Linked DNA regions of Stegostoma tigrinum. The protein of the gene in region 1 interacts with the protein of each later gene in a biochemical or structural test. Links are inferred from orthologs where the notes say so. Each region holds a gene or a part of one and is shown in the gene's direction. Other genes may lie near its edges. The genes, in order: mcm2, chek1, cdc7 and protein DBF4 homolog A-like.

The links.
Region 2: the proteins of mcm2 (region 1) and chek1 form a complex in vitro, tested with the Homo sapiens proteins (2 studies listed by BioGRID, with this or other methods). The link is inferred for Stegostoma tigrinum from reciprocal best matches to the Homo sapiens genes MCM2 and CHEK1.
Region 3: of the proteins of mcm2 (region 1) and cdc7, one has a biochemical effect on the other in vitro, tested with the Homo sapiens proteins (8 studies listed by BioGRID). The link is inferred for Stegostoma tigrinum from reciprocal best matches to the Homo sapiens genes MCM2 and CDC7.
Region 4: of the proteins of mcm2 (region 1) and protein DBF4 homolog A-like, one has a biochemical effect on the other in vitro, tested with the Homo sapiens proteins (3 studies listed by BioGRID). The link is inferred for Stegostoma tigrinum from reciprocal best matches to the Homo sapiens genes MCM2 and DBF4.

What each region holds. Positions count from the first base shown.
Region 1 is NC_081364.1:5,791,559-5,799,122, reverse strand, and holds the start of mcm2 (DNA replication licensing factor MCM2), read left to right. Parts: upstream 1-4,551; 5' UTR 4,552-4,636; coding exon 4,637-4,642; intron 4,643-7,564. UniProt on the Homo sapiens protein: Acts as a component of the MCM2-7 complex (MCM complex) which is the replicative helicase essential for 'once per cell cycle' DNA replication initiation and elongation in eukaryotic cells.
Region 2 is NC_081385.1:31,882,202-31,889,868, forward strand, and holds the start of chek1 (serine/threonine-protein kinase Chk1), read left to right. Parts: upstream 1-4,665; 5' UTR 4,666-4,712; intron 4,713-4,726; exon of another isoform or gene 4,727-4,751; intron 4,752-7,667. UniProt on the Homo sapiens protein: Serine/threonine-protein kinase which is required for checkpoint-mediated cell cycle arrest and activation of DNA repair in response to the presence of DNA damage or unreplicated DNA.
Region 3 is NC_081361.1:87,370,804-87,378,808, reverse strand, and holds the start of cdc7 (cell division cycle 7-related protein kinase), read left to right. Parts: upstream 1-5,002; 5' UTR 5,003-5,136; intron 5,137-8,005. UniProt on the Homo sapiens protein: Kinase involved in initiation of DNA replication. Phosphorylates critical substrates that regulate the G1/S phase transition and initiation of DNA replication, such as MCM proteins and CLASPIN.
Region 4 is NC_081355.1:113,236,977-113,244,856, forward strand, and holds the start of protein DBF4 homolog A-like, read left to right. Parts: upstream 1-4,880; 5' UTR 4,881-4,994; coding exon of another isoform or gene 4,995-5,026; 5' UTR 5,027-5,189; intron 5,190-5,207; exon of another isoform or gene 5,208-5,338; intron 5,339-7,880. Other genes in the region: probable mitochondrial glutathione transporter SLC25A40, read right to left, coding at 4,995-5,026. UniProt on the Homo sapiens protein: Regulatory subunit for CDC7 which activates its kinase activity thereby playing a central role in DNA replication and cell proliferation. Required for progression of S phase.

The sequences.
Region 1 (7,564 bases):
AAAGATTTACCAGGATGTTGCCAGGAATGGAGGGTTTGAGATTACAAAATTGACTGGAAAGGTTGGTACTTTTTTCAATGGATCATAGAAGGTTTATAAAATCATTAGGGGCATTGATAAAGTAAATGTCACAGTTTTTTTCCCTAGGGAGGGGGTGTTCAAAACTAGGGGCAATATTTTTAAGGTGAGAGGAGAAAGATTTAAAAAGGACATGTGGGCAACTTTTCTTTTACACAGACAGTGGTTTGTGTGTATGTGGACTGAACTGTCAGAGGAAGTGGTGAATGTAGGTACAGTTACAATGTTCAGAATACATTTGGATAAGTTCAGGAATAGGAAAGGTTTGGAGAAATATGGGCCAAGCACAGGAGTTGGGATTAGTTTAATTTGGGAATATGGTCATTGTGGGCTAGTTGGATCAAAGGGTCTGCTTCCATGCTGTGTGACTCTATAAACTCTAAATGGACTAAGGAATGGCAGATGGAGTTTAACGCAGATAAATTTGAGGTGTACTCTGGAAAGGGTGCAAGAAAGATTTTAAGGGTATTACTGAGACTGGAGGGTTTGAGTTATATGGAGAGACTGGATAGGCTGGGACTACTTTCCTTTGAGCAGAGAAGGCAGTGGGTTGGCCTTATAGAGGGTTATAAAATCATGAGGGGCATAGATAAGTTGAATAGCCAAGGGTATCTGCGACCAAAACCAGCAGGCATTATTTTGGAGTATATTTGTAGCTCGGGTTGTGGGTGTTTGAGGTTGGTTGGCTCACCGAGCTGGTTTGTTGTTCTGCTGATGTTTCATTACCGTGCTTGGGTAACATCCTCAGTGCAGCCTCTGATGGAGCATCAGTGTGTTTTCCCGCCTGGCTTTTAAACTCTGTGGACCATTGCGATGGATTGCCTCACTTCTGGGTTTCCTCCATAGTGGAATGTATATGGGGTGTTTATTAATAGCCTGCTACGTGGAGTGCTATGCTTCCAGGAATTCTCGTGTTTGTCTCTACCTAGCCTGTCCCAGGATCTTGGTGTTGTCCCAGTTGAAGTCGTGGTTCTCCTTGTCCATGTGGATTGAGACGAATGAGTAACCAAGCATGGTAACGAAACGTCTGTGGAACGACAAACCAGCTCGGCGAGCCAACCAACCTCAATAGCAGGCATAGTTTTACGGTGACAGGGTAAAGATTTAAAATGGGGGGCAACTTTTTCACAGTGGGTGGTGAGTACATGGAACAAGCTGCCAGAGGAAGTGGTAGGGGTGAATACAATTACTATATTTAAAAGACATTTGAATGAGTACATGGATAAGAAAGGTCGAGAAGGATATTGGTCAAATGAAGGCAAATGGGACTAGTTCAATTTAAGAAGTCTGGTTGGCACAGATAAGTTGCACCAAAGGGTCTGTTTCTGTGCTGACTCTCAAGGTTAACAGGCAGGTAAAGTTGGCAGTTAGGAAGTCAAATGCAATGCTTCCATTCATTTCAAGAGGGCTAGAATGCAAGAACAGAAACGTGCTGCTGAGCCAATTTCGAGAGTCTGGTCAGACCACATTTAGAATATTGTCAGCAGTTTTGGGCGATGTATTTTAAGGAAGGATATTATTCACTGATTGTCTTGTATATCGAAATGCAGTGAAATGCTTTGTTTATGAGCGCTAGAGGCAGATGACAGCAAGCAAAGGATGTACAGATCAAAAAGACTTAAAGGCATACAGGTTACATTGCAGGTTACATTATTTAGGGCATCTTCATTATTTGAGGCCAGAGTCCATTCAACAATCTGAGTACGTGACAAAGTTGATTGATGAGGGAAAGGCTGTAGATGTCATATACATGGACTTCAGTAAGGCATTTGATAAGGTTCCCCATGGCAGGCTGATGGAGAAAGTGAAGTCACATGGGGTCCAGGGTGTGCTAGCTAGATGGATAAAAAACTGGCTGGGCAACAGGAGACAGAGGGTAGTAGTACAAGGGAGTTTCTCAAATTGGAGACCTGTAACCAGTGGTGTTTCACAGGGATCTGTGCTGGGACCACTGTTGTTTGTGATATATGTAAATGATCTGGAGGAAGGTGTAGGTGGTCTGATCAGCAAGTTTGCTGATGACACTAAGATTGGTGGAGTAGCTGATAGTGAAGGGGACTGTCAGAAATTACAGCAGAATATAGATAGACTGGAGAGTTGGGCAGATAAATGGCAGATGGAGTTCAATCCGGGCAAATGCGAGGTGATGCATTTTGGAAGATCAAATTCAAGGGCAAACTATACAGTAAATGGAAAAGTCCTAGGGAAAATTGATGAACAGAGGGACCTGGGTGTTCGGGTCCATGGTTCCCTGAAGGTGACAATGCAGGTCAATAGGGTGGTCAAGAAGGCATATGGCATGCTTTCCTTCATTGGGCGGAGTATTGAGTACAAGAGTTGGCAGGTCATGTTGCAGTTGTTTAGGACTTTGGTTCGGCCACATTTGGAGTACTGTGTACAGTTCTGGTCACCACATTACCAAAAGGATGTGGATGCTTTGGAGAGGGTGCAGAGGAGGTTCACCAGGATGTTGCCTGGTATGGAGGGTGCTAGCTATGAAGAGGGGTTGAATAGATTAGGATTATTTTCATTAGAAAGACGGAGATTGAGGGGGGACCTGATTGAGGTCTACAAAATCATGAGGGGTATAGACAGGGTGAATAGCAAAAAGCTTTTTCCCAGGGTGGGGGACTCAGTTACTAGGGGTCATGAGTTCAAAGTGAGAGGAGGAAAGTTTAGGGGAGATATGCGTGGCAAGTTCTTTACACAGAGGGTGGTGGGTGCCTGGAACGCGTTGCCAGCAGAGGTGGTAGACGCAGACACGTTAGCGTCTTTTAAGATATATTTGGACAGGTACATGGATGGGCAGAGAGCAAATGGACAGAGACCGTTAGAAAATAGATGACAGGTTAGACAGAGGATCTTGATCGGCGCAGGCTTGGAGGGCCGATGTTCCTGTGCTGTAGGTTTCTTTGTTTCTTTGTACTGTAGGGGGCTGAGGATGCATCCTTGGTGGGGTGGGGGAGGACTCCAGAGTTGAGGGTTATTGTGGAGGAGGTGCAGTTACCTATCCTCACTGATTGTGACCTATGGGTCAGAAAGCTGAGGATCCAGTCGCAGAGTGCTGAGCTGATGCCAAGATCACGCAGTTTTGAGATCAGTCTGGAGAGGACAATGGTGTTGAAGGCGGACATTTAGTCAACGAGCACAAGTCTGATGTAGGTTTCTTTATTGTCCAGGAGCTCCAGGGATGAGTGCAGGGCTAGGGATACGGCATCTTCTGTGGACCTGTTATGTTGGTAGGCAAATTGTAGGGATTTGAGGCAAGTTTGGAGACTGGAGTTGATGTGAGCCATGACCAGCCTCTCAAAGTACTTCATGATTATTGAAGACAGCAAATGGGTGATAGTCACTGCACACACACTGCATGTGTTCTCTTGGATACAGGGATGAGAGTGGTCTTCTTGAAGCAGGTGGGGACTTTGGCTTGTAGGAGGCAGAGGGAGGGAGTCCAGAGGAGGTTTACAAAAATGATCCTGGGATGAGGAGTTGTCAAGAGTTTAGAAGGGTTGGGTGGAATGGGAACCTCATCTAAACTTCCAGAATCCAGTGGTCTGGATAGAGTGGACATACTTCCACTAATAGGACAGGCTAAAATGCAAGTATAACAGCAGAGTGAAAGAAACAACCCTTTAGAACAGAGATGGAGGAATTTCTTCAGCCAGAGGGTGGTAAATCTGTGGAACTCATTGCTCCACAGAGCTGTGTAGGTCAAGTTGTTCAGTATATTTAAGATAGAGCTAGATCAGTTCTTGGTTAGTAAGGCGATCAAGAGTGAGAAGGCAGGAAAATGGGGTTGAGAATCATATCGGCCATGATCAAATGGTGGAACAGAGTCGATGGGCCTCCTATATCCTGTGGTCTTCTCTTAAGGACATTAGTGAGCCAGTTGGGTTCTCTTGGCAATGGTTATCCTCAGATTCTTAATCCCAAATTCTTTAAAATTGAACTCAAATTGCACTATCATGCATGACAAGATTTGGACCTACGTGCTGAATACGCTACCTGGGTCTCTGGTGTATTAGCCCAACAATGCGGCCCTCATCCAATAGTATTATCCCATTCCTGTGCTTTTTTAAAAATGGTCTCCTTTACAATTTGGAGACGGTCCCTAAATGTAGGGTTGATTGACGTGTGGGCCAGCCAATCCGCGAGAGGTCAGGTCCTAACGGACACCACCTACAGCCAATCACAAGCACGAGGGGCGGAATCTGAACCGCCAATCCATTCGGGAACTCAGCGTCTCTTTCCAATGTGAGCATCAGTAGCGCCCCGTCGAGAAATAATTGATGAACACCATTCCCTACAGGCTCCAGGCCGCAGACCGCGATGTTTAAATAGCAATACGTACGCCTCGTCTTCAATCGATCCATGACCCGTTACAGCCGGCGATGTCTGATGCTGTGCGCCGATGACGCAGTGCTCATTGACATGCATGGGGCCGCGGTGACGTAGAACACACGACTGGGTTTTGGCGCGAATCGGAGTCAGGTGGGTGGTTTTGGCGCGAAAAGGGGTTTAGTCCGTTTGTCGGTGAGGAGCCGGAGAGAAGGAGGCAATGGCGGTGAGTGGAAGAGAATGAGGGAGGTGTTTCTGGAGTGGGGTTAGGGGAAAGCTGCAGCTAAGAGCCCGTCAGATAAAACACTGAGGGGAAAAGTGGTTTGTGATGTTCCTCACATCCCGACCTCCGGCGTGATGATAAGTGGTAGGAGGCTCAGAGAGATCCTGAAGGGGTTGTTGTTTGTTTATATCGCACATGGAATGAGGGCGTCACTGCATTTATTGCCCATCCCCAACTGCCCAGAGGGTCAGTTGAGAACCATCCGCTTTGCTCTGGGTCTGGAGTCACATGTAGGCCAGAGATGGTTTGAGGTCCGCGAATCCCCGAAGGCAGCAGGACCGGTCAATAGGGTAGTTCAGAAGGCCCTCGGGCAACTTAGCCAAGACGTTGAATATGAGAGTGGGGAGGTTATCGTCGGTGTATAGTACTTTGGTTAGGCCACAGCCGGAGCCCTGTGTGTAGTTGCGGTCACCACATTACAGGAAGATGTGATTGCACCGGAGTGGGTGAAGAAGAAATTCACCAGGATGTTGCCTGGGATGGATCATAGAGTTGTACAACGTGGAAACAGACCCTTTAGTCCAACTCTTCTGCTCCGACCAGATATCCCAATCTGACGTAGCCCCATTTGGCCCTTGTCCCTGTAAACCCTTCCTATTCATGTACCCATCCAGATGCATTTTAAATGTTGTAATTGTACCAGCCTCCACCGCTTCCCCTGGCAGCTCATTCTGTACACACACAATCCTAAGCATGAAAAAGTTGCTCCTTAGTTCCCTTTAAATCTTTCCCCCTCTCACCTGGACCCATGCCCTCTACATTTGCAGCCCCCTAACCTGGGGAGAAAAAGGGAGGCTGGATAGCGTCAGCTTGTTTCCTTTAGAGCAGAGAAGGTGGTGGGGTTTGGAGGGTGTGCGGAACCTGTACTGTAAACAAGTGCTGGCGATCGCAGTATTCACGGAGAGACAGCAAGCTAACGTTTCAAGTCGAGATGACTCTGATGAAGTGTCAGATTCCTTCATCTGCTGTAATTTGCACCGGGGCGGGTGCGGGGGGGAATGTGATTGAGTGGTGTAAGATTGAGGGATACAAACAGGGTAGGTAGATATCAGCTGTTTCCCTGAGTTGAAGGGTCAACAGCAAAGGGACATAATTTTAATTCGTAAGGTAGAAGGTTTACAGGGATTCGAGGAAAGCAAGCTCAGAGGCTTTTTTTTGGGGCGGGGGAAGGTGTCTGCAATGCACTGCCAGGGAGGGTAGTTGACATGGGAAATATCTCAACCTTTAGAATGTATTTGGGTGAGCATTTGAAATTCCTTAACATTCAAAGTTGTCGGTCTAATGCTGAAAATGAGACCAGTGTTTTTTTTCGAGCGGTTTTTGTTGATGTAGTCATGATGGGTCAAGGACATGCTTCTGTACTGTATGATACTACATTAGAAGGGTATGTGATCCCGCGGTCACCTACTCATTCAAATTGTGACCTAGACCCCATTCTGTTTCATTGCTGCAGTGCTGTGAGGTGCAAAGTTAGCCCCACCAACCCCTTTCCTGATTGAAATGCCCATTCGTTTTGTCACTGAACCTGGGTCAGAATGTTCCAGATAATTTAAATGCTAGCTATAAATATCGTAACACATCTTTTTAAAAACTGGCAGAACTGCAGTTGTTGGAAATTAAAAACAAAAACGTCACTGGCCACAAAATGTTAATTCTGCTTTCTCTCCGCAGATGTTGCCAGACCTGTTGAGTTTTTCCTGCAATTTCTAATTTTATTATCTTTCCCAAATTCCCTGAACCTAATCTCACCCAACTTCTTGCAACAATGCTACCCACTGTTCCCAATTCCTTCGCCTCCACCGCATCTGGTCCCACGGTGAGGCATTCCACTCCCAGACATCCCAGATGTCCTTGTTTGTCAAGGACCACAAATCCCACCCCCCATGGTCAAAAATGCCCCCTACTGCATCTTTTACATTCCTGCACCTCAGCCCTCACACCCCCTTCCCGCAATGACAACAAAGACAGAATCCCCCTTACTCTGATATATCACCCCCATCAACCTCTGAAGTCAAAGCATCATTCTCTGCTAATTCTGCCACCTGCAATCTGGCCCCATACCAAGACTATATTTCCCTCCTCACCCTTATCTGCCTTCCAGGACTGCTCTCTCTGTGACTCCCTTGTCTGCTGTATGCTCCCCACTAGCCCTGTTAGGTTTGTTCCATTAACTTCTCAGCCCCACCACCCCCAACACCTTTCCCTGCAACCGCAGAAGGTGCTACACCTGCCCCCACACCCCCACACCCTACCACATTAGCGGATGAGCAGGTGAACATCTGTTTGATGTGGTATATTGTATCCGCTGTTCCTGACGTGGCTACCCCTACATCAGGGAAACCAAGCAGAAGCTTGGAGACTGCTTTGTGGAGCACCTGTACTCGGTTTGTGACAAACAGCAACACCTCCGAGTCGCGATCCACTTCAACTCCCCCTCCCACTCCTTGGACGACATGTCCATCCTGGGCCTCCTCCAGTGCCACACGGATGCCACCAAAATCTGGACGAACAGCATCTCATATTACGCCTGGGAACCCTACAACCGATTCGTCTCAATGTGGACTTTACAAGCTTCAAAATCTCCCCACCCCCGACCTAATCCCAAGACCAGCACCCCCCTCTCGTTTGCATCTCCTTGACCTGTCCATCTTTTCTCCACCTATCTGCTGTACTCTCTATTTTCTATCATTGCCTCCCCGTCTCTCTTTATTTCTTCCCCTTCCCCACCATTTTTGAATCAAGGTACAGACCTGAAACGTCAGCTTTTCTGCTCCTCTGATACTGCCTGACCTGCTGTGTTCATCCAGCTCCACATCTTCTTGTTATCCCCCTAAGTTAACTGAGTTCCAGTGGTCTTGCTCATTG
Region 2 (7,667 bases), on another chromosome or scaffold:
TAGCGCACATGCACAGAATTTATATGTGGAGAGATTATTGCAAAATAGGTAATTGTGAGTGTCAGAAGACAGTACAAATAGTGTGAATAGAGTGTCTAAAGGCTGAATGGCAAGTCTTTGCAGGTGATCAAAAGTGTCAAATGGTGTAAGTAAAGTGTCAGTAGCTGAATGGCAAGTGAAGGGATGACCTATGACCCGATTAATTAAGGCAGAGAGATAGCAACAAAAAAAAATCAAAACATAAGATGGTGCTAGAGACAAACCAAATGGCTGGAATAACATGATTGGTATAAGAGCGGCAAGATAAGGCGCTAGATCAGTTTAGGATATCTGGTCAGCACGAATGAGTTGGAACAGGAATGGCGGTGGGGAGGGGGTGGTGGTGTGGAGGGTGGGTCCTGTTTCTGTGCTGTATAACTCTATGTCTGTGACTATGACTTAAAATGAGACATGAATATAATGTGGTCATGTTTAGTAATCACATAAAATTTACCATGCTGAGTTCATGCAGTTACAGAGACCGGATTGTTGAATGCCAATTGGGAAGACTACAGATAAACTGAAGTTATTAAGTACGTGTCAATGGAAACAGTTTTAACAGGCTGCTTAAGTAACCTTTGCTGATGTATTATGCAACATCCTCAAAGTTGTTTTGGAGTCAATAGCTGTGCAGTGTCAAATTCTGCTCCCTGCCAATTTCACCAGCTCCTCCTAGATTTCTCTGGCATCACTTTCTGCCTCATTCAGTAAACAGCAACCCATTAAAAACAAGATGAACTCACATCACCCTCTTCCGACAAGCGCCTGCACTCAAGGAACTCGTTCCCCAGAATGCAGCACTTCCTCTTGAACTCACATGACCTCCCTTGCTACAAGTGACAGAAGAGTTCACTGATGCTGTACTGGGTTCGACTGAGTGAATGAACTCACTTCACCCTGGTGAAGTCAGCCAGTGAACTCGTCTCACCCGTGCCCACAATCCTTCACTGCAGACCTCCCAGACCACACTCGTGGCTGCATCATCACATTCTTGGCACAGCAGAGACAAAACGAAATCAGAACTGAGCACTAATGGGTCTGGCAAGATGCGACTGTGGGATCACATTACAAACATTGAAGGTAACTTAAATGTTGCCTTTGATTCTCAAACACGCCATTGTGCTATTTGAATAAAGGTAGCTTTGACTTTGTTTTATAAAGTAACTGTTTAGCAATGATTGCAATATATCAGTCTTCTGCGTAATTTAAAAATAAACAACTTTGTATTAATTTTCAGAAGTTTATTGCTGATCTTGAGCGTTCAATGAGTGGTAAATAGAATTTGGATTTCTACACAGCCTCTCACATTCGTGGGATACTCTGAATCCCTGCAATTACTGCTGAAGTACAGCCAGTGGTTTTTCTTTACAGGTAATTGCAGTAAACAAATTGTGCAAAGCATGACCCCAATGACAGCAACAATAGAACCAGTTAATCATTTCTGACTGTGTTTCTGGATGGAGGAACTTTAGGTTAGACATGAGAACTCCTTACTCTTTGAACAGTGCTGTATGATTTTCAGGCTCCACTTAAATTCATCCAAAAGATGGCACTAATGACAATTCAGCCCCACTGCAGCACTGCACTGAGTTGTTGCTGTAGAGTGTACACGAGATAAAAGTGATGCCGATGGAGGTAACTGCCATCCCACATCTGCCTAGCACCCTAATCCCATGCTTTCCTCCATATTTACCCTTTCGCGAAAGCTGTGATAGGGGCTGGGTCTGCTGCTAATGATTAAATCTCAGAACACATTCACTGACTGTTGCAAAATGAAGGTGTAGATTCCACAATGATTCTCTTTACCAGTGGATTCATAGATTCCTGGTCAGGCTCATCACATAAAGCAGATAACAGTACAGCTGAGGAACACGACCTTTGGTCCACCATTTCTGTGCCAACCATAATGCCATTCCAAACTAATCCCATCTGTTTGCACATGGTCTGTAACCCTCCATTCCCTGCCTGTTCATGTGTTTGTCTAAAAGCCTTTCAACTGTTGCTATCATATCTTCTTTTACCAACTCCCCTGGCAATGTGTTCCAATCACCGCCTGCATGGAAAACTTAACTCGCACATCTCCTTTAAACTTTTCTCGTCTCACCTTAAACCTATGCCCCTTGTACTTGAAATTTCCACCCTGAGAAAAAGGCTCTGACTATCCACCCTATCCAGGCGTCTCATAATTTTATATTATTCTAGCAGGTAGAAGCCTCTGACACTCGAGTGAAAACAATTCCAATTTGTCCAACCTCTCCTTTTGACTCATACATGCCAATCCAGGCGATATCCTGGTAAATCTCTTTTACACCCTCTCCGAGTCTAAAACAGGAGGTTCCTCCCCAGCAGTCTTCAGTGCAGAAATCATCTAAGGTATGTGAGGAATTTTTAATGCAATCAAGGCTGGAAGTAGGATTTCTCACACTGGTTGGAAAATCTGTGCTAAAACTCTTAATTAGGTGAAATGTAGGAAGGTCCCTGATAGGGCAGGAAACATGAGCCTTGAAATAATAAAAGAGTTGGTGGGGCAGGGCTAAAAGGAATGGTAAGTCCATAACCTGATTTCACCTTCTATAAATTAACAGTGTTACATTCTCAACTCTTCCCAGTCCTAATGAAAGGTCGTCATCCTAAAAAAATTGGGCTGGATTTTCATGGAGTTAGGGATACTCCACAAAGGAATACGCATGACAACAAGAATCCATTTCCAGAATTCCTGGCCATATTCCAGCACCAAGAATTTTTACCAATGTCTCTTAAGGACAGATGGGCCTGCACTTCTGGCCTTCTCAACTGCATAAGTGATATTGGAATGCCTTGGTCTACACCAATTTCAATGGATCCATCCTCAATTTAAAGGTCTCAAGGTTCTTTAGTAGATTTGTAGCTTGGGTTGTGGATGCTGTGGTTGGTTCACTCGCCAATTTGGTTAATTGGTTGGCAGACGTTTTGTTACCCTGCCGGGTAACATCATCAGTGCAGCCTCCGATGAAGTGCTGTCATGTTTCTCACTTTGTATTTAAACTCTGGGGTCCGTTGGATTTGATTACCCCATTTCTGGTTTTCCTTCACAGCGGTCTATGTATAGGGTCTATATGTGAACACCAACTAGCAACAAAAGGACACGACCAAAAAATACTCACTCATCTCCTTTCACATGGACAAGGAGAACAACCAGTTCGATTGGGACAACACCAGGATCCTAGGACAAGCTGAACAGACAGAAGAACGGGAATTCCTAGAGGCCTAGTTCTCCACCAAGAAGGCCATCAACAAGTGCATAAAACGGGACCATATACACACATCACTGCAAAGGAAAACCGGAAACGAGGTAATCAAATCCACATTTCCCAGAGTTTAAATACCATACAGGAAAACACAACAGCGCTTCATCAGAGGCTGCATTGTTGATGTTACCCAGCAGGGTAGAAGAAACATCCACAAACTAACAAACCATATCAGCGAGAGAACCAACCACAGCATTAAAGGAATGGGTTTACATCAGAACATTGTGACACATTGTCTGGATGAGGGAACTCATTTTCACAATGCCACTATCAGACTAAAATTCTCTGACCAGGCCTGCAACACCCTCTATGCCAAGTCCCAGAACATGAGGAGAGCCATTCAAACAGTGTGTCCTGTGCCCCAGCAGCACCTATGGCTTTATCAGAACTGTCTGATGCCCGTAGCCTTTACTCTTTTTTTTGACAAGAATTAGATTAGATTCCCTACAGTGTTGAAATAGGCCCTTTGGCCCAACTGCCCCTTGGAGCATCCCACCCAGACCCATCCACTATAACCCACACACCCCCGAACACTACAGGCAATTTAGCATGGCCAATCCACTGAGGCTGCACATCTGTGGGAGGAAACTGGAGCACCTGGAGGAAACCCAGGCAGACACAGGGAGAACATGCAAACTCCACACAGACAGTTGCCCGAGGCTGGATTTGAACCTGGGTCCCTGGCGCTGTGAAGCTGCAGTGCTAACCACTGATCCACCCAGCTGGCAACTCTTGTTAGCATCCAGTGGCTGCACTCAGTTGGAAAACAGTGTATTGGTCCTACCTCTGAATGCAGTCACATTGAGCTGGGGAATCTGAGATAATGGGAACTGCAGATGCTGGAGAATTCCAATATAATAACGTGTGAGGCTGGATGAACACAGCAGGCCAAGCAGCATCTCAGGAGCACAAAAGCTGACGTTACGGGCCTAGACCCTTCAACAGAGAGGGGTATGGGGAGAGGGTTCTGGAATAAATAGGGAGAGAGGGGGAGGCGGAACTGGGGAATCTCATGGCTCCCGCTCCTCTGATCCATGCACATGAAATGCGATTCAGTAATTCTGTTCTTGCTCCATTGATGCATTCCTGCCCTCTGAAAGTTATCAACATCCTCTGCTCATATTTACAATTTTGTTGCAATTAAACTGAATAACTATCCACCTAATTTCCAATTCGATGTGATGAAGTGACCCTGGTCTACCACACGATCAAATCCAGCTGCAGTCGCTGTGTCACTAACCCATTCAGAACAGCGCCAGCTTTGAAACTCCCGCCCGCGCTGACGGCACCGCCAGCCTCAAGCCCCCAGCAGCGCGGTGACGTCATTGCAACGTGTTGACGTTCGCAAGGCGCGAAAATCCATGGGAAGAGCGTTACGCAGAGAGAGTGAGTGTGAAAGACGGAGAGAGAAAGATGGGGGAATGAGTGAGTGAGAGAGAGAGAGGGAGATGGGGGAACAATTCAGTGTGTGTGTGTGGAAGAGAGGTGGGGGAATGGGGTGAGAGAGAGAGAGATGGGGGAATGAGTTGCTGTGTGTGTGAGAGAGAGAGAGATTTTGGAATGAATGAGTGTGTGTGTGTGTGAGAGAGTGTGATGGAGGAATGAGTGACTGTGTCTGAGAGAGAGAGAGATGGGGGAATGAGTGACTGTGTCTGAGAGAGAGAGATGGGGGAATGAGTGACTGTGTCTGAGAGAGAGAGATGGGGGAATGAGTGACTGTGTGTGTGAGAGAGTGTGATGGAGGAATGAGTGACTGTGTCTGAGAGAGAGAGATGGGGGAATGAGTGACTGTGTGTGTGAGAGAGAGAGATGGGGGAATGAGTGACTGTGTGTGTGAGAGAGAGAGATGGGGGAATGAGTGACTGTGTCTGAGAGAGAGAGATGGGGGAATGAGTGACTGTGTGTGTGAGAGAGAGAGATGGGGGAATGGGTGACTGTGTGTGAGAGAGAGAGATGGGGGAATGAGTGACTGTGTGTGTGTGAGAGAGAGAGATGGGGGAATGAGTGACTGTGTCTGAGAGAGAGAGATGGGGGAATGAGTGACTGTGTGTGAGAGAGAGAGATGGGGGAATGAGTGACTGTGTCTGAGAGAGAGAGAGATGCGGGAATGAGTGACTGTGTGTGTGAGAGAGAGAGATGGGGGAATGAGTGACTGTGTGTGTGAGAGAGAGAGATGGGGGAATGAGTGACTGTGTGTGTGAGAGAGAGAGATGGGGGAATGAGTGACTGTGTGTGTGAGAGAGAGAGATGGGGGAATGAGTGACTGTGTGTGTGAGAGAGAGAGATGGGGGAATGAGTGACTGTGTGTGTGAGAGAGAGAGATGGGGGAATGAGTGACTGTGTGTGTGAGAGAGAGAGATGGGGGAATGAGTGACTGTGTGTGTGAGAGAGAGAGATGGGGGAATGAGTGACTGTGTGTGTGAGAGAGAGAGATGGGGGAATGAGTGACTGTGTGTGTGAGAGAGAGAGATGGGGGAATGAGTGACTGTGTGTGAGAGAGAGAGATGGGGGAATGAGTGACTGTGTGTGTGAGAGAGAGAGATGGGGGAATGAGTGACTGTGTGTGTGAGAGAGAGAGATGGGGGAATGAGTGACTGTGTGTGTGAGAGAGAGAGATGGGGGAATGAGTGACTGTGTGTGAGAGAGAGAGATGGGGGAATGAGTGACTGTGTGTGTGAGAGAGAGAGATGGGGGAATGAGTGACTGTGTGTGTGAGAGAGAGAGATGGGGGAATGAGTGACTGTGTGTGTGAGAGAGAGAGATGGGGGAATGAGTGACTGTGTGTGAGAGAGAGAGATGGGGGAATGAGTGACTGTGTGTGTGAGAGAGAGAGATGGGGGAATGAGTGACTGTGTGTGTGAGAGAGAGAGATGGGGGAATGAGTGACTGTGTGTGTGAGAGAGAGAGATGGGGGAATGAGTGACTGTGTGTGTGAGAGAGAGAGATGGGGGAATGAGTGACTGTGTGTGTGAGAGAGAGAGATGGGGGAATGAGTGACTGTGTGTGAGAGAGAGAGAGAGAGAGAGAGAGATGGGGGAATGAGTGACTGTGTGTGTGAGAGAGAGAGAGAGATGGGGGAATGAGTGACTGTGTGTGTGTCTGAGAGAGAGAGAGATGGGGGAATGAGTGACTGTGTGTGTGTCTGAGAGAGAGAGAGATGGGGGAATGAGTGACTGTGTGTGTGTGAGAGAGAGAGAGAGAGATGGGGGAATGAGTGACTGTATGTGTGTGTGAGAGAGAGAGAGAGATGGGGGAATGAGTGACTGTATGTGTGTGTGAGAGAGAGAGAGAGATGGGGGAATGAGTGACTGTATGTGTGTGTGAGAGAGAGAGAGAGATGGGGGAATGAGTGACTGTATGTGTGTGTGAGAGAGAGAGAGAGATGGGGGAATGAGTGACTGTATGTGTGTGTGAGAGAGAGAGAGAGATGGGGGAATGAGTGACTGTATGTGTGTGTGAGAGAGAGAGAGAGATGGGGGAATGAGTGACTGTATGTGTGTGTGAGAGAGAGAGAGAGATGGGGGAATGAGTGACTGTATGTGTGTGTGAGAGAGAGAGAGAGATGGGGGAATGAGTGACTGTATGTGTGTGTGAGAGAGAGAGAGAGATGGGGGAATGAGTGACTGTATGTGTGTGTGAGAGAGAGAGAGAGATGGGGGAATGAGTGACTGTATGTGTGTGTGAGAGAGAGAGAGAGATGGGGGAATGAGTGACTGTATGTGTGTGTGAGAGAGAGAGAGAGATGGGGGAATGAGTGACTGTATGTGTGTGTGAGAGAGATGGGGGAATGAGTGACTGTATGTGTGTGTGAGAGAGAGAGAGAGATGGGGGAATGAGTGACTGTATGTGTGTGTGAGAGAGAGAGAGAGATGGGGGAATGAGTGACTGTATGTGTGTGTGAGAGAGAGAGAGAGATGGGGGAATGAGTGACTGTATGTGTGTGTGAGAGAGAGACAGATGGGGGAAATGAGTGACTGTGTGTGTGTGTCTGAGAGAGAGAGAGATGGGGGAATGAGCAACTGTGTGTGTGAGAGAGAGCGATGGGGGAGATGAGTGACTGTGTCAGAGAGAGATGGGGGATTGATTGACTGTGTGTCTGTGTGTGTGAGAGAAGATGGCGGAATGAGTGACTGTGAGAGAGAGAGAGAGAGAGAGAGAGAGATGGGGGAATCAGTTGCTGTGTGTGTGTGAGAGGGAGAGATGGCGGAATGAGTGACTGTGTCTGAGAGAGAGATGGGGGATTGATTGACTGTGTGCGTGTGTGTGTCTGTGTGTGTGAGAGAGAGATGGGGGAATGAGTGACTGTGTGAGAGAGAGAAAGATTGGGGGAATGAGTGACTG
Region 3 (8,005 bases), on another chromosome or scaffold:
TTTTGATTGTTGTTTGAAATAATATAATGACAGACCAGTCAGCCTTCCTTGGTGATGGGAACATTCTTGGAAAAATTCTGAGGGACAATATGTATTTTAGTTTAATGAGTTATAGATCAAAGATAATCAGCAAGGCCTTGTACACAGAAGTCCATGCAGTCTGACTTCATTGCTTTTACTTTAATACAGGTAATGAGAAGTGGTGATGGTTGTTGCCTGTTTGATGTAGTCTACACTGATTTTAACAAGACATTTGACAAGTTCCAACAGAGTGGATTGGTTAAGAAAATTAAAACCTTACAGCATCCACGGAAAGACTGCAAGGTGGATGCAGACTTGTCTCAATGGGAGCAACCAAACGGATTCGGTCAGAAGTGTAATAATTAGCAGGTGTTTTGTGTTACTGAAAGATTGTTTTCAGTTGGTTCTGTAGGGCTTTTGTGGTACAGTGGTAATGTTCCTATGTCTGAGCCAGGAGGTTTGGGTTCAAGTGTCATAGCAATTCTGAATAGAATGATTCAAGGTATCTCCAGTCGGCCCAGTTCAGTTCTGATGAGGGGTCATTGCATGTGCAACACCACTCTGCCTTCCTCTCTACAGATGCCACCAGACCTGTTGAGTTTCTCCAGCATTTTCTGGTTTCAGATTTCCAGGATCTCCAGATGATGTTGTATTGGGCCCAGTGCTTGCTTTTCAGGAATTTAGACTGGAATGTAATTTGGATAATTAAGACTTTTGAAGGTGGTATGACAATTGACAGTAGCGTTATCCAGGTTCCAGGATGGACAGTGGTACTGAGAGTGTGAGGCAGAGGGAAAGGGTTTCCAGGCCAAGAGGTGATGGTTGTTCATGGAAACATTGAAAATAGGAACAGGAGTATGCCATTTGGTCCTTTGAGCCTGTTCTGCCATTCAACATGATCACACTTTCAACATGATCCTCACTTTCTCCTACTAACATTTGACCACTTGAAAAGCAAACCTACCTCAATCTTGGAATCATTCAATGTTTTGACTTCAGCCACTTTCTGTTGCAGAGAACTCCACAAGCTCACCACTCTCTCTGAATACATTCTGCTCATCTCATTTCTAAACGGTCTATCCTTAGACTCCAACCATTGGTTCAGACCGCTTTCCCAGGAATCAGTCTGGTAAACATTTGTTACATTTCCTCCACATCCTTCCTTAAGTATGGATATGAGAATTCAAGAGCCCTGGGTGGGGAGATGGTAGTTATCCAGAGTCCTTGGTGGGGTGGTATCAGTTACCCATACTTTGGGGCAGGGTCTGACTTATCGAGTCTGGGACAAGAGGTGCGGGTTGTGCAGGGTCCAGAGTAGGAAGTGCAGGTTATACAGAGATGGAGTGGGAGGCATCTGTTATCCAATGACTAGGGGTAGGGATCTGTGGGTGAAATTTGAAAGGGTTCTGAAAAGATTTGCAAGAATGTTGCCAGGGTTGGATGTTTTGAGTGATCGAGGGTGGCACAGTGGCTCAGTGGTTAGCACTGCAGCCTCACAGTGCCAGGGATCCAGGTTCGATTCCAGCCTCGGGTAACTGTCTATGCTGAATTTACACATTCTCCCTGTGTCTGCGTGGGTTTCCTCCGGGTGCTCCGGTTTCCTCCCACAGTCACAAAGATGTGCAGGCTGGGTGGATCAGCCATGCTAAATTGCCCGTAGTGTTCAGGTGTGTGTGGGTTATAGGGGGATGGGTCTGGGTGGGTTGCTGCAAGGGGCGGTGTGGACTTGTTGGGCCAAAGGTCCTGTTTCCACACTGTAGGGAATCTAATCTAATAAAGTGAGGCTGAATGGTCTGAGGTTATTTTCCCTACAGCATCAGAGGCTAAGGGGTAACCTTATAGAGGTTTTTAAAATCATGAGGGGCATGAATAGGGTGAAAAGACAAGGTCTTTTCCCCAGGGTTATGGTGTCCAAAACTAGAGGGCATATGTTTAAGGTGAGAGGGGAAAGATTTGAAATGGACCTAAGGGGCAACTTTTTCATGCAGAGGGTGGTGCGTGTATGGAATAAGCTGCCAGAGGAAGTGGTGGAGGCAGGTACAATTACAACATTTAAAAGGCATCTGGATGGGTATATGAGTAGGAAGGGTTGCAAGATGTGGACCAAATGCTGGCAAATGGAACTGGATTTATCTAGGATATCTGGTTGACATGGACAAGTCAGACTGAAGAATCTGTTTTGATGCTGTAAATCTCTATGACTTTATCCAAGGCCCACACCAAGGAGATATGTGTTATCCAGAGTTAGAATTGGGAGGTTGGGTTATTCAGGGACAGGATGGAGACGTAAAGGGGAGGTAATGGGAACTGTGTCAGTTACCCAGGGTTAGGGGATGGAACGTGTGCTTACCTAGGGTAAGGGTGGGGAAGGTGTGTGTGATCTGTGGTGAGTAGGTGTTGGTTATCCAGGGTCCGAGGCAGGGATGTGTGGGTAATCTACAGTCCTGAGTTGGGAGTGTCAATTATACAGGGTTCAGGGTAGAGAGTTGACAATTCTCAGAATATTGAAGGAAGCAAGTGAACAAATTGCTGAAAGATTGGCAGACATCTTTGTATCCTCTTTGGCCACAGCTGAAGCCTGAGAGGACTGAAGGATAGCCAATGTTCCATTGTTTAAGAAGGGTAACAGAAATAACCCCAGAAATTACAGACCTGTGAGTCACACGTCGGTGTTGGGGAAATTATTGGAAAAGGTTCTCAGGGAGAAGATTTATACACAGTCAGAAGCAAACAAACTTATTAGCAATAGACAGTATGGTTTTATGATACAAACATTGGTGGTGTTGCAGATACGAGGAGGATTGTCAGAGGATGCAGCAGGATGTAGATCATTTGGAGGCGTGGGCAGAAAATGGCAGATGGAGTTTAATCTGAACAAATGTGAGGTGATGCATTATGGAAGGTCAAGTACAGGCGGGAATTATACATTGAATGGCAGAACCCTTCGGAGTACTGATATGCAGAGATGTCTGGTCCGAAGATCATTGAAAGCAGTAGAGCAGGTAGATAAGGTGGTAAAGAAGGCTTATTAGCATGCTTGTCTTCATTGGAAGGGGCATTGAGTCATAAGATAGATGTTATGCCGCAGCTTTGTAGAACTTCAGTTAGGCCGCACTTGGAATATTGCGTACAGTTCTGGTCACACTGCTAGAAGGGCGTGGATGCTTTGGAAAGGGTACAGAAAAAGTTTTCCAGGATGTTGCCTGGTCTGGGGGATTTTAGCTATGAAGAAAGGTTGGATAGACTGGATTTGTTTTCACTGGAATGCACGAGGTTGAGGGGTGACCTGACAGAAGTTTTTAAGGTTCCAAGTGGCATGGGTAGAGTGGAATGTATGAGGTTTTTTCCCCAGGATGGGGGAGTCAATTAATAGAGGACACAGATTCAAGTTGAAGTGGGGATGGGGGCACGATGTTTAAAAGATATGTGCGAGGCAAGTTTTTCGCACAAAGGGTGGTGAGTGCCTGGATTGCACTGCCAGAGGAGGTGGTGGAAGCAGACTCAATAGCAGCTTTCAAGAATTACCTGGATGATTACATGAATGGAGGGGAATAGAGAGATATGGATCCTGTAAGTGATGACAATTTTAGTATGTAAGGGCAAATTATGTCAGCAGAAGCTTGGATGGCCGAAGGGCCTGTTCCTGTGTCGTATTGTTCTTTGGCTTTTTTTGTTTAATTATCCAGGGTCCAGGGTGAGAAGATGACAGTTATCCAGGGTCTGGAGCAGGGAGGTATCCGGGGTTCAGGGCGAGAAATGTGTAAATTATCCATGGTCTTGGATGGGGTAGTGTCTGCTTTCCAAGACCTGGGATAGGATGTGTCTGGTATCCATGGTTGGGGAATTGTAAATTATTCATGGTCCGGGGGGGATGTATTGGTTATCCAGGAACCAGGTAAGGGGAGATGTTGGCTGTCCATAGTCTGGGGCGGGGGAGATGTTAGTTATCCAGAGTCCAGTGTGGTGTATTGGTTATCCACTTCTCCAGGTTGGGGTAGTGTTGATTATACAGGGTCTGGGCAGGGTGGTGTCAATTATCCAGGGGCTTGGCTGGAGAGGTGGCAGTTATCCATGTTCAGGGAAGGTAAGGTGGGTAGGGGTTTGAGGGCAATGATTCAGGGTCTGGGACAAGGAGATGTCAGTTATTCAGGGCCTGGGGCAGGAAGTTTTCACTTCTGCAAGGTCTGGGATAGTTATCCAATGGTCAGTTATCCAGTGTCCCGTGTGTGAATAGAGATAATGGGAACTGCAGATGCTGGAGAATCCAAGATAATAAAATGTGAGGCTGGATGAACACAGCAGGCCCAGCAGCATCTCAGGAGCACAAAAGCTGACGTTTCGGGCCTAGACCCTTCATTAGAAATGGGGGATGGGGTGAGGGTTCTGGAATAAATAGGGAGAGGGGCGAGGTGGACCAAAGATGCATAGAGGAGAAGATGGGTGGAGAGCAGAGTATACGTAGGGAGGAGATAGTTCAGTTTGGGGTGGACAAACAGGTCAAGGGGACGGGATGAGGTTAGTAGGTAGGAAATGGAGATGCGGCTTGATGTGGAAGGAGGGGATAGGTGAGAGGAACAACAGGTTAGGGAGGCGGGGACGAGCTCATTTCTGAATAAGGTTCTAAGCCCGAAACATCAGCCTTCCTGCACCTCTGGTGCCTTCCAGGACCAGGGGTTAATTATTGGAGGGGGCTGGGTGGAGAGTATCAATTATCCGCGGTCCGGGGCGGAACGTATGTGTTATTCCTCGGCCCGGGGCCGGGTGTGTCTGTTATTTTTTGCGGCAGTGCGGGGCGGGGTGTATCGGTTATCCAGGGCCCGGGGTAGGTTGTGTCAGTGAGCCGCGGTGCGGGGCGGGGTGTATCGGTTATCCAGGGCCCGGGGTAGGTTGTGTCAGTGAGCCGCGGTGCGGGGCGGGGTGTATCAGTTATCCAGGGTCCGGGGTAGGTTGTGTCAGTGAGCCGCGCGGCGGGGAGGTGTCGGTTCTCTTACGCTGCGGGGCGGAGTTACTTTCGGCGGGCATTTTGTTGGCGCTCTCTCCGTTTCTGTGTCTGTGGGGCTGGGTGTCGGCGGGTTTGCCGCTCCGGAATCGGTTTTCGGTGTCCACTTTTCTTCGGTAAGAACGGTGTCTAACGTGGTTGGAGAGAGAGATAATGGGACGTGGTTTATCTCGGGAGGACTCACGCAGTCCGGGGCTTGAATGTGGCCTCCTTTGAAGTGAAGCAAATTCCTCCGTTTAACACAAAAGATGATCATAAACATCTGACAAATTCAAATAAACATCAGGTTAAAATGAGGCAGAATTACATATGGGCGTGTCAAGCTGTTTATTTTGGCTTATTAATTAATTAATGATTATACAGTCATTAGCACCCTTTGCAGTGTGGAAGCAGGCCATTCGGCCCATCGAGTCCATACTAACCTCCTGAAGACCATCCCAGCCAGACCTAGCACCCCACTCACCTAATCCCTGAAACACTGCACATCCCTAGATGCTATGGGCAATTTCCCATGGCTAGCCTTCCATAAGAGTTCAGTATTGCATCAATTTTGTTCTTCAGTGTCAGTGGGCAATAACAAATTTGGATGAAGGTTTTGGGGTTTAATCACCAAAATTTTATGTGAGGGTTTTGCTTTGATATTTTGGATGGTCAAAACAATGAACTCTTCAGTAACCTGTTGACATGATTGTGGTGATTGAGTTGAGGAGTGCCAGATTGACTTCATAGAATATGAGTTCCCTAATTGAGGCTGTTAATCTGGTCCAGTTGTAGAGTTGTACAGTATGGAAGCATACCCTTTGGTTCAATTCATCTATGCTGACCAGTAGTCCCAAATAAATCCACTCCCGTTTGGCCCATATCCCTCTAAGCCCTTCCTGCCCATCCAGATGCCTTTTAAATGTTGTAATTGAACGAGTCTCCATCAGGGAGTCCTGGCTGAGGTTCTGTCCACTCAATTGGCTCTGAGGAAGCTGGTTCAGTGTCAAGGACACTTTATGTGTGATTCAGGTGTTAGTTGGTGACGGGATAATGGCCTCTCGAGTTATCTCAAGAAGCGTAGAAATAAATTGGATAGTCTGGTCCTTTTTCATTGAAAGAATATCCCTCCTCCGCTTCTGGACCAGACCCAAGAGCTACCCTGGTTTTTTTCTGACCTTTATCAGTCAAATCAACATTGCTGAATACAGGTCACTCAGTTGAAGTGCAAATTTGCATTTTTGTAGTGCCAACCATAAACACTAGAAGTCACAAAGTGCTTTCCAGCCAGTGGAGTCTGGTTGAGGCATGGACACTATTGTCCTGTGGGTTCTCCAAGCTTCTGTGGACTAGAGAGGAGGGGTATGCAAGATAAATGAACAGACTGACTGAAGCACTGCATGGCAAGCCGTTTTGGGGAATGCAGTTTTCGTCATTATTGTTCCTTATGCTGACAACCAACATAGGATTGGCATATACTGGAGCTATATATTATTGATACACAGGATCCTATTCATGGTAGACAAAATACTTGCACTCACTGCCCCTGTGTCAGCAACAAAATATTGACAGTCATTCTCTAATTCCTTTTCTAAGGGTAGTGTCTTAACCAATCAGAGTCAACCCTTCTGGCTAAAATTTAAACAAAGCTGGCACATAACTGTTGATCGTTATTAACTTATGCATTTCCCATGGCAGTGGTTCAATATATCAGTTGCTACTTGCTTAGCCATCAGCACTCCTCACGCAGTATAAATATTGTTTTGCCTTGGTTTTGGTGGTGTTAATTGTCCTGATAACAACAAAATGAAAAGCTTTGGTAAAATGTGTTTTGCTTTGAAAAAGCAGCAAGGACAAAATCTCAAACGAGAGAAAGCTAACTAAACCTCTTAAAAGCAGATTGTTAATATTTGTAGAAACTCTATTAAAAATACTTAAGTGACTGTACCTCCCTTGGAGGGCAAGACAGTGGAATTATTAATATTAAAATACCGAGCTGGTGAAAACATCAAACAGTTTATTTTGTCCGTTCTCACATTCGAAAACAAAAAAACAGCAGTTGAAAATCAAGATGTAAACACATCAGAGAAACTTAAAGCAATCACACTCACTAAGAGGTAATGGGAAACAACTAGAATTAAAGCCTGACAAGTCCATTGGACTGGATCGTATGTTCTGTGGGTTTTAAACAAAATGGCTGCAGAGATGGTAGCTGCATTGGTTATGCAATCTAAAATCCTAAATTCCTGTTCCGTCACATTGAAAGTTTGCAGATGTAACACCTCAATTCAAGAAAGGGAGAGGCCGAAAATATCAGTAAACACGCAATGCTATAAGGGGTGGAGTTCCAGGTTTTTGACTCACTCAGAGAAGTCCAGAAGATGAAATGACTTGACACACTCCATCTCAACCACCAACATTTGTACCAGGTATAATCGCAAGAGTGAAGAGTTCAACCCCTCCCCACACAGGATTCTCATTGATTCCAGTTTTGGTGGGTTCCCAGGATTCCACTCTCGAATGCCTAAGGCTCTCCTTGCCTCTGGACTTCAGGTCTTGTCCATTTTGGACAGTGGCTAGAAGAAGGCCATGAACTCAGTGGTCCTTGTGGAACCCAAACTGAGTGTCATTGAGCAGGTTATAACTAATGCTGCTTGAGGGCACTGTTGATGATAATTTTCATCAATTTAATGTTGAGGAAGAGTGGACTGATGAAGCAGTAATTGTTCAGATTGGATTTGTCCTATGTTTGTGCGTATAGGACATTCCTATCAGTTTTCTATATTATCGAGTAGCTGCCAATATTGTAACGGCATAGGAACAGCTTGCTAGGGTTGTGCTAAGTTCTGGAGCATTTGTCTTGTACTTTGGCTAAAATGTTGTCAGGGACCATAATCCTTTGCAGTCTCTAATGCCTGCAGCCATTTCTTACATATCACATGGAGAATGAATCAAATTGGCTGAAGACTGACACCTGTGATGCTGAGAACCTTCTGGATGTTGAAC
Region 4 (7,880 bases), on another chromosome or scaffold:
GTGAGTCTGAGTTTAACCTTTTACCAGTGCCATTAAATGACATAACCATTGCTGAATCCCCCATAAGCAACATCCGAAACAAAGCAAAGCAACGCCGTTAATCAGCACCATGTCTACCAGTGAAACAATCACTTCCTCCAACACTGGCATCTATGGCAGCAGCGTATACCCTGTCTCATTTGCTAGTCAACATTTGCTTGACATAGTCATACTCATGGAATAATAACTGACAAACCATGCCTCAGATACTTCATCCTCGCCAACGTGTCTGTCACGCTCATATCTGTCTATGACAGTATGAGTAGGGATAACTATGGCAGGGTTTCCATAAAGACAAAGTCCTGTCTTCATACTGTATTATGTAGCACTACCACCATGCTAAATGGGACAGTTTCCAACTAGATCTAGCAACTTGAGGTTGGACATCTATTAGGTCCTCTGGGCCTTCAGCAGCAGCAGAAAGGGACTCAAACAGAATCTATAACCAAATCCACCACCACATCATTACCAGAACTCTGACTTGGTGGTAATGATGTGGTGGTGGATGTGCAAGTAATTTACCTCCTCATTACCTGTACCCTGTCCACTATCTTTATGGCATAAATCATCCAATTGCTTGTGTAAGTGCAATTCTCCAGTTACACTCAAAACCCATCCCATTTGATTAGCATCACTTCCACAAACTTTAATTTCCTCCTCACAGACACTCAGTAGCAGCAGTGTGTACCATCTACAGGATGCACTGTACAAAAATACCATTCTTCTTCAGCACTTTTCATACATAGGACCACTACCATAAGTAAGACAATGGTAGCAAATAAATGAGAACATCACCACCTACAAGATCCAAGGTGCTCACCATCCTGGCTTGTAAACATATTGCTGCTTTTTTCAGTGCCACAGGGTCAAAATCCTGGAACTCCCTCTCTAGCAGCACAGTGAATGTATTTCAAATGAGCTATAAATGGATGTCCAGCCAGCAAAGCCCACACCCTGAGTGATTTTTTAAAAAGTTACTTCATAACCTTCACAGGCTAATCAGAAATGTTTGCTGGCTGGAGTAGATTCAACATTTGAATCAGTGTAATCTCTTGTAACAACCTTCAAACAAAGCAATCCTTGTGCTTACTGCCAGTGTCAACCTTCTTAAAATGGGATCATTGAAGCAACAGGTATAGGAATTGTTGGTGAAAACCTGCCTATTTTAGTCAAACAAAAAAAAATCAACTTACTTCATGAATATTGAAGCTGTAACTGTTCATGAACATTAAAGTTTCCTTACAGGTAACAAAGAACGGTTTCAAAAGATAAACGAAGATCCACTTACTCTTGCTGAAAAGCAGGTCTTCTACTTTGGCAGAATAATCAACAAGCAAGGTGACCTTAGTGATATGAAAATATCTGTACCGTGACATGTGCACAACTCTGAAAGTCTTTCCCAAGTGACCTTGTGCTGTTGTAGTAATGCTGCACAGAATTCATGGCAATGTTCTATCAGCAAAACCAATAAATTTGTCATAGATTTAATGTTCACAACATTAACTATTTAAATTAGACTACAGTTTGCTTATTAACTTTTCTCAGTTTAAATATGTTCAGCTGAGTCAGGAGGCAAATTCCCCCTGCCACAGATCTTTGGGCAGAGAGGGCACAGGTTGCCTGAACAAGATGGGCTTTCAAGTCAAGGTTTTACTGTCTCCCACATTCCACTTCTGTTGCTACTCTGTTTGCAGTTAATTTCTGACAGTGATTACTACATTGGGTGAGGCTTCTCCAATGCGCTAGAGTCAGAGTTGTACAGCACAGAAACAGACCCTTCGGTCCAACTGTTCCACGCCAGATATTCTAAATTAAACTAGGCCCATTTGTCAGCATTTGACCCACAGCCCCTAAAACCTTTCCTACTGATGTACCTGTCCAGATGCTTTTAAAATGTTATAATTATACCAGACTACAACTTAATCTGGCAGTTCATTCCATATACACACCACCTTGTACATGAAAAAGTTGCCCCTTACATCCCTTTTAAATCTTTACCTGCTCACCTTAAACCTATGTCCTCTAATTTTGGACTCCTCTACTCTGGGGAAAAAGACTTTGGCTTTTCACCCCATCCATGCCCCTCCACCCCCCCATAATTTTATAAGCCTCTTATAAAATGTCACCTCCCAACCTCCAACATTCCAGGGAAAATAGCCCCAGCCTATTCAGCTGATCCCTGTATCTTAACCCTCCAGCTCTTGGCAACATCCTTGTAAATCTTTTCCAAACCCTCTCAAGTTTTACAATATCCGTCCTACAGCAAGGAGACCAGAATTGAACGCAGTATTCCAAAAGTGGCCAAATCAATGCCCTACATAAATGGAACATGACATCCCAACTCCTATTCTCAAAGCACTGACCAATAAAGGCAAGCGTACCAAACCCTGTCTACCTGTGATTCCCCTTTCAAGGAACCATGAACCTGCACCTCAGGTTACCTCACAGTAAAACAGAATCTTGATCAGATGATCATCAGATGAGGGGTGGCAGATGGAGTTTTATTTAGATAAATGTGAGGTATTGCATTTTGCTAAGGCAAATCAGGGCAGGCGTTGTACACTTAATTGATAGGTCCGAGGGAGTGCTGCTGAATCAAAAGACCTAGGGACGTAGGTTCATTAATCCTTGAAAGTGGAGTCACAAGTAGGTAGGGTGGTGAAGCAGGTACTTGATACGCTTGCCTTCATTGGTTAGTGCAGTGAGCATAGGACACAAAGTCATGCAGCCTGGGCCCTGGGACAGTTATCCTCGTTTTGAGGGGCTGATAATGATAAATCTTAGTGTAATATTCTAAACAAAATGATGTTGAAAGCATCGGCTTGCAGGTGTTCTTTAAGATTACAACATTTTAAGCTGAATAAGGTGAGCAATGCTTTGAAACCTGATATCTAAGTTCACTTAACTCGGATATGGAAGCTCCCAACTGGCAGGTTGTAATGACCCTCTTCCCGAGAAATGACACTGAAGCTACAGATATGTAAAATGCATTATGTGAGAGTGAGAACAAATTAGAGACAGAAAAAATCCGTGAAACCCAAGTGCCGAAAGTTGTAAATGGGTCCGAGGATTAAACGTTTATGTAAAACAAGAGTAGGTGCACCTTAACAAAGCATAAGCTAACATGCTTTGAATACAAGAAAATCACTGAAAAAAATAAGCAATGTCTAAAAGCTAAAAATATTTAAACATCAAAGTCCAAAAATCTTTAAAATGCCCAACTAAAAGGAAAAGTGCTAGTCCTTTAACTCATGTTGAGCAACACTGAATGAAGACTAAACCAAGTCTAAAAAGTTAAATAAAATGAAATTTAACATGTATAACTGTAGGCCAAGTACACCTCAAGACTAAATGTCAATGCTGAACTTAATTCTTTTGATCACTTCACTGCCCTTTTACTAGTCTGTACAATTTAAACTGATGCAATGTTATGCAACAGTGCAACTGTCACATTGAAAAGCAGATAAGGAAAAAGACATCTAATCAGGCCACATGTATAAATCAGAGATAATAGGAACTGCAGAAGCTGGGAAATCCGAGATAACAAGGTGTGGAGCTGGATGAACACAGCAGGCCAAGCAACATCTTAGTAAGGGTCTAGGCCCGAAACGTCAGCTTTCCTGGTCCAAGATGCTGCTTGGCCTGCTGTGTTCATCCAGCTCTACACCTTGTTATCTCATATATAACCAATTAAGTTATGATCAGTTTATGGTTGTGATATTCAAATACGTCAACTGAAAAAAGGTTTACTACAAGTACTGCCATATAAACTATTGAGCTGTTTCTAAAAGATATGATGTTTTATGAACGGAAAGTTTTCCCTGCAACATGACAACACTCAAGCAATGCTGCAGGAACAAAGATAGAAACAGTAACCACTGCATAGTTAAAATACCCGTCACGGCAATACAATACAAAATTAAACTGTATTCATTGAATATAAATGTAAAAACAAAATGGGTGCTGCAGCTCACTTTATCATCCTGCACATGTTGGGTAGTGAAAAAGCTAACATATTTTGTTATCAAAATAGATTCACAAAATCACACACCCAAAATTGTACTTTAAATTGTCTCAGCTTCAATAAACCAGAATAGCTTAACACAATCATTTATGTAACTGCAGATCTGTATAATTTGTAAAATGAAATGGATCCCCAAACTTAGGAGGCAAAAATATCCAATTGAGGTTGTAAATGTTATTGCATTTTTCTGCCATTTGATAAACGTACCCAATTTCAAACCTATATGCTTAAAATTGCGGCATAAGCAAGCATTCCCATACGTCAAGAGAAAGAGATAACAAAGTGTGGAGCTGGATGAACACAGCAGGTCAAGCAGCATCTATTTTATATTAGATTTTTGTAACTGGAAAGATTAAAAACTTAATGAAAAATACTTCAGTCTTAAACTGAAATACCACTCAGGTAAATCTCATTTCATAAGCGAGCCGGAGGACGGTAAACAGTGTATTTCTTCCAACTCCAACAACGGTGAAATAACAAAAAACAAGTAGTTGCATAACGTTAACTGAATCAAACCGAGTGTGAGAGGGAAGACGAAGGTGGGAAAAGAATTTCACCGTACTCACTGTTTCGCCTCAACGACTCTCGGGCAGCAACTAGAATAAGGAGCTGAATGAGTGCCTCACCTTTGGGCTGGTTAATAAACCGATGGCAGGAGGAGTTGCTTACTGGTTCAAGGTGATCATCAGACTGTGGAGGGTGGGTGGGGGGTGGTGTTGTTTCTATGAGATAGAAAGAGACTGTGGGGTATGAGCTGGGATGACCATCTCCACACCAGCCCCCACCCACATCAGCCTCTCTCACACGTGCTCGGAAACTGTCACTCTCTCAGCCAGGGGCCTTGGTCCCGGTTCATTACCGCAGCCTGAGCCCGGGACGTGCCGAGCGGCCACTGGCGGTGACGACGCGTACCCGGGATCGAAAGACGCACCTTCTCCTGTCGACTGCCGGCACATTCGCCATTTGATCCACCTCGAGCAACCCCGCTTTCTGTTCCGCGGATGACCACTGGCTACTCCGCGCGAACCTCCCCTTCGTGTTTTCACTTCGTTAGCGAGGCGCTGGATTTAATCGATGCTTTCGTCGGAACCCAGCGCACGTGGTGCGTGTGGAAAGTGCGGAACCGGTAATGGGGATGGTTTTACTTAGATCGCTGCCATTGCGCGACCGGCGGGAAAAAGGAAAAAAAAGGGTAGAGTGAAAATTGAGTGGAGGAGAAAGCGAGGGAGGGGGAGAGAGAGAAAGAAAGGCGACTGGAGGAAGGAAGTGCTGCCGGTGAGTGCTCCAGGCCGGGAGCTAATTGATAACCGCGAGGCGCCGTTTAAAGGAGATGGCGGCAACTGCGTTATTCGGGAACCGCTCTGTGCTAGACCCGCATCGACCCCAACGTTTAAAGGAGCACTTTGGGGGCGAGGGGAAATAACCTTAATGCTTCCATCCAACGGTGTTTACTTGTACTAGTTTAACTTTTTTGTTTCTGGCGCGAGGATTCTTCGAGAAGGAGGTCACTCGCCCATCGTCCCCTGGGCTGGCTCTTGAAAAGAGCTTTCTCTCATCCCCCCGCCCCCGCCCAAATCTCTCACCCTCGTACAGTTTGCCCTTCGCAAATATATGTCCACATTTTCCTTTCGCAGGAACATTCGGAGGTTTCTAACCCAATCTCTGTCCTGCTGTCTCAGATGGAATTGAGTGATTTTAGGGCATCTAAGAGTAGCCGTGTTTACTTTGGCCAATTCCTCGTTAAGGATCACAAATAAAAGTTTATTTAGTCGCTACACGCTGTAGTTTCTGAAAGATTGCTTCAGTACTTTAACAAAACTACAATTTTTTTGCTCGATATCGTGATTGTGAAGGTTATACAATGCAAGTTTTGTCATTGAGTCATCGCTGCCTTTAGAAGTACGCTGATTTGCCGAAAGAGAAACTTCACAAGAATGTTAAAGATCTTCTCTCCATTCGTGAGAGCAAATGCTGAATAATTTTAATATTATTTCTATTTTATGACATTATAGCAAGGCATGTAGTTTATTATTATAACATATACGAGTTTCTGAACAAAGACTGGCAGCTGACATAAGTAGAAATCCCAAAGGCTATTCTGTGGGCACATAATTTGTGAAAGGATGGTAAGAAGAGAGAGAGACCAAGAGAGTAAAAGGTAAAGCCACCATTGTCCCAGAGAGCTGCTCTCCCATTAGTGATAGACCACTGGTAGTGGTGACAGATGAGGTTGAGGAGATAGGGCATTCATTGTCACAAAATGTGGAGCTGGATGAACACAGCGGGCCAAAAGCTTTTGTGCTCCTGAGATGCTGCTTGGCCTGCTGTGTTCATCCAGCTCCGCACTTTGTTATCTTGGATTCTCCAGCACCTGCAGTGCCCTGTACCTCAGTGGACATTCATTGTAACCTCAGCCGATGCAGAAATTAAATCCCCAATGTTCACGTCATTTGTCAAGCCAACTGAGCTCACAAGCAATATTTTATGGATGGAAACATGGTAGAGGTTTTAAGTGAATACTTTGCAAATACCTTTTGCAAGAAGCTGATGCTATCTGGGCATGGTGCCAGAAGAGAACATTTAGTCGCCAGAAATGTTCAAAATTGTTTATCCTAGGTAACCATCTGAACTACCAGCACAAAAACCAGACATGACTCCAAACAGGATGACATGGATCCAATTATACTGAAGGAAGAATGAGTGGAAATTGCAGTGGCACCGGCCATAGTTTCTACTATCTTGCTGCGCCTCTTGGTGCTACCAGAGGACTTTGGGAATCGCAAAAAACTTCTTTAAAAAAAGGGTATACAACTATAAGTACATTTTGAGCCAGTTGAATTTTGGCAGGGGGGAGACTTTGACGAGTAAAAATGTGGCATAAAATTAATAGTCATATTGAAAAATGAGAATTAATTAAGGAAAGCCAGGGTGAATTTCTTAATGGTAAATTGCATTTATGTAAGTTGCTGGATTTTTATTTTGGTGTGGGAACCAATGTTTGAGAGGATAATGGTGCTGATATCGTGTGCCTGCACTTCTAAAAGGAACTTGCTGCAGTACCGTACAACACACCTGATAAAAGAGACAGTGAAAATATAGAGTAATGTTTAATGGATTTTTCTTGGGCTGGGGGAATGATTTGTAATGAAGTTCAATGGCATCATTTTTTGGACATTGCTTTTCTCGACCTATATGAATGATTGAGACCTTAACATATAGGAAATCATTTCAAAGTTTGCGGACAGTGAAAAACTTGGAAGCCTTATAAGTTGTGAGGAGGACAGTATCAAGCTTCAAAGGACATTGACAAGTTGGTGGAATAGAGACATAGGTGACAGATAAGTTCAGTGCACAGAGATGAGAGGTCATATATTTTGGTTTAAAGAACATGGAGAGAAAAAGTTTAAAAAAGAGGATGGTATTGTAAAGCATGTGTAGGAGGACTAAGACGTGGATGTATACTTGTATTGCTAAATAATGGTAGCAAATGAGGGTGAGACGAGATAATAAAGCGCACAGTATTCAAGGCTTTATAGGATCAGTGATATTGCATCAAACGTCTAAGACCAGTTAGATTTTAGCTGGAGTATTGTGTGCAATTCTACTTGCCACACTTCAGGAAGGATGTGAATACACCTCAGAGAATGCAGAAAAGGCACAAGAATGGATTGAGAGGATAAGAAACTACATAATTTATTGAAGTTGGCACTGTTTCCACTGAGGAGAAAGCTAAAAGGAGATTTGATGGAAAGTTTCAAAACCATAAATGGTCTGGACAGACTAGATATGAAGAAATTGTTCCCACTCGAATAAAAAT